2 linked regions of the Rattus norvegicus genome follow. The protein of the gene in region 1 purifies or fractionates together with the protein of each later gene. This does not show direct contact. Links are inferred from orthologs where the notes say so. Each region holds a gene or a part of one and is shown in the gene's direction. Other genes may lie near its edges.

Region 1 (4,414 bases):
AGCAGCCTACAACTAAAATGGACCTTCCATCCCCACACTGACTTCATACCTAGGATTCTGTAGAGCCCAGGGCTCATGGATAAAATGTAACCCAGGAATAACTGATCCTGCCACAATGTTAATATAATTTCAGGAGGGCATGGTAGGTACCTATGTCTCTGGGTAGAATGCTCGCCCCGAATTTGAGAATTCTAGGTTCTATCTCTAACACAGAAAAGAAAAAGGATAACAGGAAAAATATTCCACAAGAATAGGGGTCTAGGGGTCCTGCGTTCAACTCCCATCTTCCTACAAAAATGCCAGGCTCTCTCTGAAATCATTTTTCCTGTCCTCTAACACATACCGTTTGAAAATATCAGTTCAGCCTTTTAAATCTTGCTCGATCTTATCTAGGGGGGGTCTCCTTTTCCCAGATAAAAAACAGGCGTGACATTATTCCGGAAGCTTTCGGGGAAAGACGCTGCACTGTCATTTCCGTACCGCAAAATGGCGCTCTCATAATCTCTAAGAGTTGATACAATCAGAGCTACAGGGAGCCATGACGCATGCGCACCAGCAACAACAACAAAACACCCACAAGGTTCAGTTTCCCGCGCTGGAACCTTTCCAAGCATCCGTGTAAAGCATCGCGTGCCCAGGAGCGCGAGGACCCAAGGGGGAACCTGTCGGTTGGGGTCCTGCTTTTACATAACGCCCCCACAATGCTCTTCGCCACCCTCGCCCTGGTCCCTCCAGCACCAAGCTCCTTTCCTGGAGCTGGGAGGCCACCCTCTGCGTTCAGAAAGACTCTGAGGACACAGAGGGGGAGACCTGTGGAATGCCGAGGAGCTGTGAGATGAAGTAACATCACGGCACCCCTCACCACTACTCTGAGCAGGGTTTGAAGAACAGTTAGGGTCCGCAGCAGGACGCTCCATCAAGCTCTGAGGAAATGGAGAAGTACAAAGGGACGAGCGGCAGAATGGCTGGCCCCACCTCAGGTTAGCGCGCAGGGCGGTCTAGATTCTCACGCCGTATGCACAGCTCAGCGCGTCCTAAGCACACCCGACCTAAGTCCCTCACCACACCTCTGCGCATGCCGGAGCCCGAGCGCGCTCTGTCGCGGGCCTGGCAGGAGAGCCAGGGTCCAGTGGGTTGGCCTGGCACGGGGAGGAGGGAGAAAAACTAAAGCGCAACGCCGAGAGAGCACCGTAGGGATGACAATCACCCCGGGCGCTAGCCCCGTAGTCTAGCCAGCCTCCTAAGACTATATTTCCCAGGCTTCCTGGTCGAGAAGACTCCGTGCTAGGCTTCCGCTTCCGGTGGCGCTCCGTTCGCCCCGCCCCCGGGCGGCTTCCTCTAGGGCCTCGCGGCCCTAGAGTCATGCGCGGGTCCTCCTGGGATTGGTAGTTTGCCTTCCCTTCATTTCGTCAGTTTCTCTCTCCTGACGGGACTACATCTCCCGGCGTCCACGGAGGTAGGGGGGCGGTCCTTAGCGCCTGCGCGTTGCTCTCTTCTCCCCCCCAACCCCTAAACCCTCACCAGTTTCCAGTCCCCCCCTCCCCACTTCGTCTGCCGCGGCCGGGTCGGCTTTTTGCGCTGTAGCGGTCTCTGCCGTTCCTTGGAAGCACAGCTCCCCTTCCCCGCCCCAGTCCCAGTCCCCGTCCGGCCGGTGAGTGTGGGGTTGTCTCCGCGCCCAGTCGCCGGTCCCTGGGCGCGGCACTCGGGTCGGTGCTCCTCGATGTGGGGGCGACGAAGGAAGTGACCGGGTCGGTAGCCGAAGGAGGTCGGGGGGCCTGGGGAGAGGAGGCGGCTTGTGGGGACGCTCGTGAGTCCCACGGAAGTGTGGTGCCCTCGCCAACCCTGCGAGGGCAGGAGAGGCCGATTCTGTTGGGTAAAATGAACTTCGGGAGCTTTGGGACAGGCGCCAGGAATATGCAGGCACCTGCGGTGGTGGGGAGCCCGAGCCGAGGGCCCTGTCGCGGCTGACATGGAGGGGAGAGGGGCCTGGCCGTGAGGAGCGCCAGGGACGGGGGTAACACTAACAGATCAGGACCTGTCATTTTCTGGAAAGTAGCGGAACTCGTTCTCAGCACACTGTAAGGGGGGGCCGAGCTAAAGGAGAGGAGCTTGGAGATGCTTCAGAGGCCGGGATCCTTTAAGCCCGGCTGGACTCGGATTCATCCGTCGTTGTGGAGAACGTGTGGGAGGAGGGAAGAGACCAGAAACAGCTTGGTCTCCACTTACTTAGGCTCTTCTTTCTCAGCGGACATAAAGATGAGTAGCTCTGAGGAGGTGTCCTGGATTTCCTGGTTCTGTGGGCTCCGTGGTAATGAATTCTTCTGTGAGGTGAGTTTAGGTCGGCCAACTCCACATGCCCTCGATGTTTGATTTTACGTCGTTTGAGAGCAGATTTCGATCGAGCTCACTATGCAGACTAGACTGGCCTTGAACTCCTGGCAATCCTACCGGCCGCCTCCTGAGTGCTAGTATTGTGAGGGTTTGTCAATATGCATGGCTAACAGAGGTGTCTCTGGTGACCATTAGGGCAGTTAAAACCTCTCATGTCAAAGTTGTGTAACGTGCAAAGCACGGTGTGCTAAGGTAGAAAATTATAAATACCTTTCAGAAACTAAACTACTTGACCTTCATGATTCCGAGGTCTTCAGCTCAGGAGTCTGCTGTCCCCAAGAAGAGGGCACATGCAATTTGTAAAATGAGGGACAGAAGCTGAATAATGTCTTTGTGTGCTGGATCTGGTTTGCCTTAAAGAAAAGAGCTGCAGTTTTTATGAAACTTGAGTACTTCTGCAGAACTGGGACTAGGAAACATGAGAGGTGGCTTGGCTGAGGAAAGACTATCTCCTGGGCCCAGGTGGGAAGATGACGGGCCTTTCTATACTGGTTTGAACCCCTTGACTCCCCTGTAGGTGGATGAAGACTACATCCAGGACAAATTTAATCTTACTGGACTCAATGAGCAGGTGCCTCACTATCGACAAGCCCTAGACATGATCTTGGACCTGGAACCTGGTAACTAACGTGTGTCCTGGGTTGTTGCTGACTGTGGGGTTGGTGATAGAGTGCACTTGTGGGTGCTTTGTTTCCGTTCTCTTCTGCTCTCTGCTTGCTTGCTTCTTGAATTTGTTGATGTTGGGGTTTTTTTGTTTGTTTGTTTGTTTGTTTGTTTGTTTTTGTTTTGTTTTGTTTTTTGCGGGGAGAGGGGTAGTGGAGACAGGATTTTCCTGGGTAGCCTTGTCGGTCCTAGAACTCAGTCTGTAGACCAGGCTGTCCTCGAACTCACAGAGATCTGTCTGCCTCTGCCTCCTGAGTGCTGGAATCACAGACTGGCTTGCTTCTTGAATTTCTAAATTTCCTTTTGATTCTCGCTTGCTCCTGTGTTTCCTCCCCCACCTCTAGCCCCTCCATTCATAACCCAAACTGGACTTTACCACGTGCTGTCCTGCCCTAGCTTTCCATGCTGGAGAGAGGCACACAGCAGTGCTTAACTTCTCCACTGTTTTGATTCCTTGCCTGGTCTTGATGCTCTCTGAAAGCAGCTCGGCTGTTTTGTAATGGTGATTTCCTCTTGGGCCTGGTGTGCTGCCTCTTTCCCTCTGCTGCCCTCGAGGGCCACCTCTGTGGTTGTGTGTTTACATTTACTTACTGTGGAAGGAGAGAGGGACTTAGGCAGAGACTAAGGCATACAGAGAGGCTGCGCTGAGGGTCTTGACCTTGTAGAGGAGTCAGGAGCCCAGGTTTCTGGGTCAGATGCATGGATGGTGGGTAGGGCGAGCTTAGGAACAGGTACTGCAGGTAAGGTAGGGATACCTAGGGAAGCTAAACAAGTGGCCGCCCCACATTTCAGATGAAGAGCTGGAAGACAACCCCAACCAGAGTGACTTGATTGAGCAGGCGGCCGAGATGCTCTATGGGTTGATCCACGCCCGCTACATCCTCACCAACCGGGGCATTGCACAAATGGTGAGGCTCTGCTCCTGCTACTTCTACAGGAGGGGAAGGGTGCATGAGTCAGAGGCTGGGGAAGAGGAGAGAGGGAGATGCCCAGGGCAGGGCCACTGAGGGTCCCATTGAAGGTGGTGTTTTCAGGAAGGGAGATGAAACCAGAAAAAGGAGTTTGCAGGGGACACATGGCAAACAGCCCTGTGCTCTGCAGCCGGCCCCACGAAGGAAAAGCACCTGAGGGGTTGGAGGGCCTGTCTCCACAGAAGGGGCTTCTAGTCAGACTCGGGAGGCGTGGGGGAACCGGGAGTGCGTTGAGATTGCCTACGCACTCACCGACCACTCCCTTCTGTTTTATACATGTCAGTTGGAAAAGTACCAGCAAGGAGACTTTGGCTACTGTCCTCGAGTATACTGTGAGAACCAGCCGATGCTTCCCATCGGTGAGTGTTTATGGGAGGAGGGCACTCTCT
Region 2 (3,647 bases), on another chromosome or scaffold:
ATGTTTGTTTTTGAGATAGAGTCTTGTATACCACAGGCTGGCCTCAAGCTCACTGGACAACATAAGATGGCTTGGACTCTTAATTCTAGCTCCTAAGTGCTGAGATTTCAGGTATAAGCTACCACCTCCTACCTGAGAGTTAGGTTTTAAGCTAATTCATTTCCATTTACTTTCTCTATAATAAATGTATTTCATTGATTCTTTAGTCATTTCTTTTTTCTTAAAGATTTATTTGTATTTTATTTTTGAGTACACTGTAGCTGACTTCAGACACACCAGAAGAGGGCATCAGATCTCAATACAGATGTTTGTGAGCCACCATGTGGTTGCTGGAAATTGAACTCAGGATCTCTGTAAGAGCAGTCAGTGTTCCTAACCAATGAACCATCTCTCCAGTTCCTAATCATTTCTTGTTAATAGCAAAATACTATTTGGTTAACTGAGAAGATTAAATCAAAAAGTTTGAATAAGCTAGGAATTCTGATAATTTTATTAACCTTTTCATTCCCATGAAAACTGAGGATACCTGGGGCTGGAGAGATGGCTCAGTGGTTGAGAACACTGGTTATTTTTCCAGAGAACCTGGGTTTAATTCCCCCGCAACTACCCGGCAGCTCACAACTGTAATTCTTTTTAACATGAGAATGGATGCTTTTTAACATGAGAATACTTAATTTGTAATACATTATAACCCTTGCAGGAAGAAATACAAGAAAAAGAAGTCTAAGAAAAACAGAAAGGAGTCCAGTGATTCAAGCTCTAAAGAGTCCCAAGAAGAATTTCTAGAGAATCCGTGGAAGGATCGATCAAGTAGGCTCTTGTATTGACTAACTCAAAACAGTTGAAACATTAACTGATTAGTCAAGATGTGAATGTGTTTCTTAATCTATTTCATGCAGAGACAGAAGAACCATCAGATCTGATTGGCCCAGAGGCTCCCAAAACACTTGCCTCCCAAGATGATAAGCCCTTGAAGTGAGTAGAGGTGTACGGTTATGGAGTTTTGTGGTTTTCTTTGTTGTGGGTTATTAGTTTTGTTTTCTGCTGAGTGTGCTCGTGTAGGTTAGCACTCTGCTGCTGAACTGTGCCCTCAGCTAGTAGCAGTGGATTTGCAAGATCCAAAGCACTTTTTAAAAAAATTATTTATTATATATAAGTACACTGTAGCTGTCTTCAGACTCACCAGAAGAGGGCATCAGATCTCATTACAGATGGTTGTGAGCCACCATGTGGTTGCTGGGAATTGAACTCAGGACCTCTGGAAGAGCAGTCAGTGCTCCTAACCACTGAGTCATCTCTCCATCTCTCTAAAGCACTTTCTTTAGCTCAGTGTGGTTCTTATGCCTGTGATCCCAGGATTTGGAAGGAGGAGGCAGGGAATTCAGGAATCGTTGTAGGCTACTTTGTGATCTTAAGGCAACCTGGGCTATGAGAGACCCTGTTTCTACAAAATCAAAAGAAGATCTTTAGCTCTCCTTCAAGGCTCCTTTGCAGAAGCAACAGTATATGCTTCTCTGCAAGGCCTTGTGATTTCTCGCCATCTTTAGTCCTCACAGCATTTCCTGTGTCTTTATATAACGTGATTTTTAAAGGGTTTATTAGTTTGTGTATTTCTTCTGTATGGGCGAGGGGAAGGCATGAAGGTCAGAGGACAGCTAATGTTTAGGAGTTGGTTCATCTCCTTCTCCCATATGGGTACCAAGGAGTACACTCAGCTCTGCAGACTTGACGGTACATAAATGCCTTTACCCTGTGAGCCTTCTTGGCGGCCCATACAAAATACTAATTATGTTTAACCTACAGTGTAGTAAATATGTAAACTTCATAAGTATAGAGATTACTTTTGTGGTATAAGCTTTAAGCTTAATTGGAATACAAGAAAACATCACCGAACTGCTCTTAAAGTTTCTTTTAATCAAAGCCAAAAGATAATTCTTATGATGTTATTGTTTGTTACAAGTTATTTTGAGATGTATTATTTATCTGAGGTTTTTTTTTTAAGTGAATGAGCCAAGGGTAGAAACAGTACTGGCTAGCTATACCTGGTGAATTAATCCACTGTTATAAAGTATGAATTTATACTTGTGAACATCGGTTCTTTTGTTCTTCTAAATTATTTATACATTTCTCGGTCAGTGATATAGGCTGTAGTACAGTGTCCCCTAGTAAAAATTAAGAAATTCACATAAAGCACAACACTGTTATTCTTACTACTGTTTGAGGGAAAAGATTGTGTGCTGTCATTTTCCTATGGAGCTAGTTTGATGAACCTTTTTTGAATTCTGGATTCCTCTGTAGCTATGGCCACGCCCTGTTACCTGGTGAAGGTGCAGCTATGGCTGAATATGTAAAAGCTGGCAAGCGTATCCCGAGAAGAGGTGAAATCGGCTTAACAAGTGAAGAGATCGCATCATTCGAATGTTCCGGTTATGTAATGAGCGGCAGCAGGTACTTTCTTACCACTGAGTCAATTTTTATGATTAGCTCTTTTTCTTCTCTCTTACTACTACAATTATATTTTGGTGATCTGTTTTCACTGACTATTTCCTAGTGGAAAATAGAGTATGTGCCTCTCTCTCTCTCTCTCTCTCTCTCTCTCTCTCTCTCTCACACACACACACACACACACACACACACACACACACACACAAAATACTAGTCTCATGAGAAAAAACATACCCGGATAAGTTTCAATTATATATAAAGCCTCAAACTCTGTATATCCAGATGTAATGAATCAATAGTTTCCAGTTTTAGTTTTTTACCCTGGTAAATATAATTTAAGTTCAGCCATCTGTCATAGGGGCATATAGGATTCCAGTAGTGAGGAAAACAATTTCATAAGATAATCTTTCTTGATTTCTGAGTTCGTTTTCAGTTCTCAGAGACCTAGAATTTCTGGAATGAATATCAGTTAAGGATCATGAAAGATGTCAGATTCAGCATGAGGAAATAAAACTGTAGAAGAATCACAAAATACTTCTCAGGGAGAGTAAGGGCAGCAATACTAAAGTCACATGAATTGTGGGTTCTTTAAGATTACAAACTATCTATTAAAATAGTTAACCGCTTTGAATTGGTACCAGAGACAAATATATGTTGAACCTCTGAGGTATCTCCAGAGTCTTCGATGTCTTAAAACTAACGTCACTTTTGAGGATGACACAGTATGACAAGGACAAATCACTAGAGACATAAAGATCAGTAAGGAGGGTTCAACGTCGTCATTTTTGTGATTGAGATCTTCAGGAGCTTAACAAATGATTGCATAGAGTCATTACAAAACCAGTTGTTTCTACATCTCAGCAACAGGCAACTAGAAAACAGAAAATAACACTTCTTTAATATATATTAATACAATTAAACATTTATCAGAGAATATGAATGATTTGGAAATAAATCCTAACATTATAAATCCCCAGACCTCCACAGGGAAAACTATAAGCCATGAAGAAACATTAAGAGACTGGAGTGACGGCCCACTGGTTTAGAGCACTGGCTGCTCTTTTAGAGGACCCAGGTTTAACTCCCAGCACCCACATGCCTGTAACTCTATTCCCAGGGAATCTGAAGCCCTCTTCTGGCTTCTTCAGGTACTACACATATGTGAGGTACAGAAATACATTCAGGCAAAACACACATACACA

What was found. The genes of interacting proteins can lie anywhere in the genome.
Region 2: the proteins of Csnk2b (region 1) and Nkap purify together in Homo sapiens (co-immunoprecipitation; 3 studies listed by BioGRID and IntAct, counting the BioPlex papers as one, with this or other methods). This does not show direct contact. The link is inferred for Rattus norvegicus from reciprocal best matches to the Homo sapiens genes CSNK2B and NKAP.

Annotation. Positions count from the first base shown.
Region 1 is NC_086038.1:3,704,191-3,708,604, forward strand, and holds the start of Csnk2b (casein kinase II subunit beta), read left to right. Parts: upstream 1-1,532; 5' UTR 1,533-1,651; intron 1,652-2,245; coding exon of another isoform or gene 2,246-2,256; coding exon 2,257-2,328; intron 2,329-2,908; coding exon 2,909-3,011; intron 3,012-3,846; coding exon 3,847-3,962; intron 3,963-4,308; coding exon 4,309-4,384; intron 4,385-4,414. Other genes in the region: Gpank1 (G patch domain and ankyrin repeat-containing protein 1), read right to left, coding at 578-614. UniProt on the Homo sapiens protein: Regulatory subunit of casein kinase II/CK2.
Region 2 is NC_086039.1:121,252,184-121,255,830, forward strand, and holds part of Nkap (NF-kappa-B-activating protein), read left to right. Parts: intron 1-700; coding exon 701-810; intron 811-899; coding exon 900-975; intron 976-2,298; coding exon 2,299-2,448; intron 2,449-3,647. UniProt on the Homo sapiens protein: Acts as a transcriptional repressor. Plays a role as a transcriptional corepressor of the Notch-mediated signaling required for T-cell development. Also involved in the TNF and IL-1 induced NF-kappa-B activation.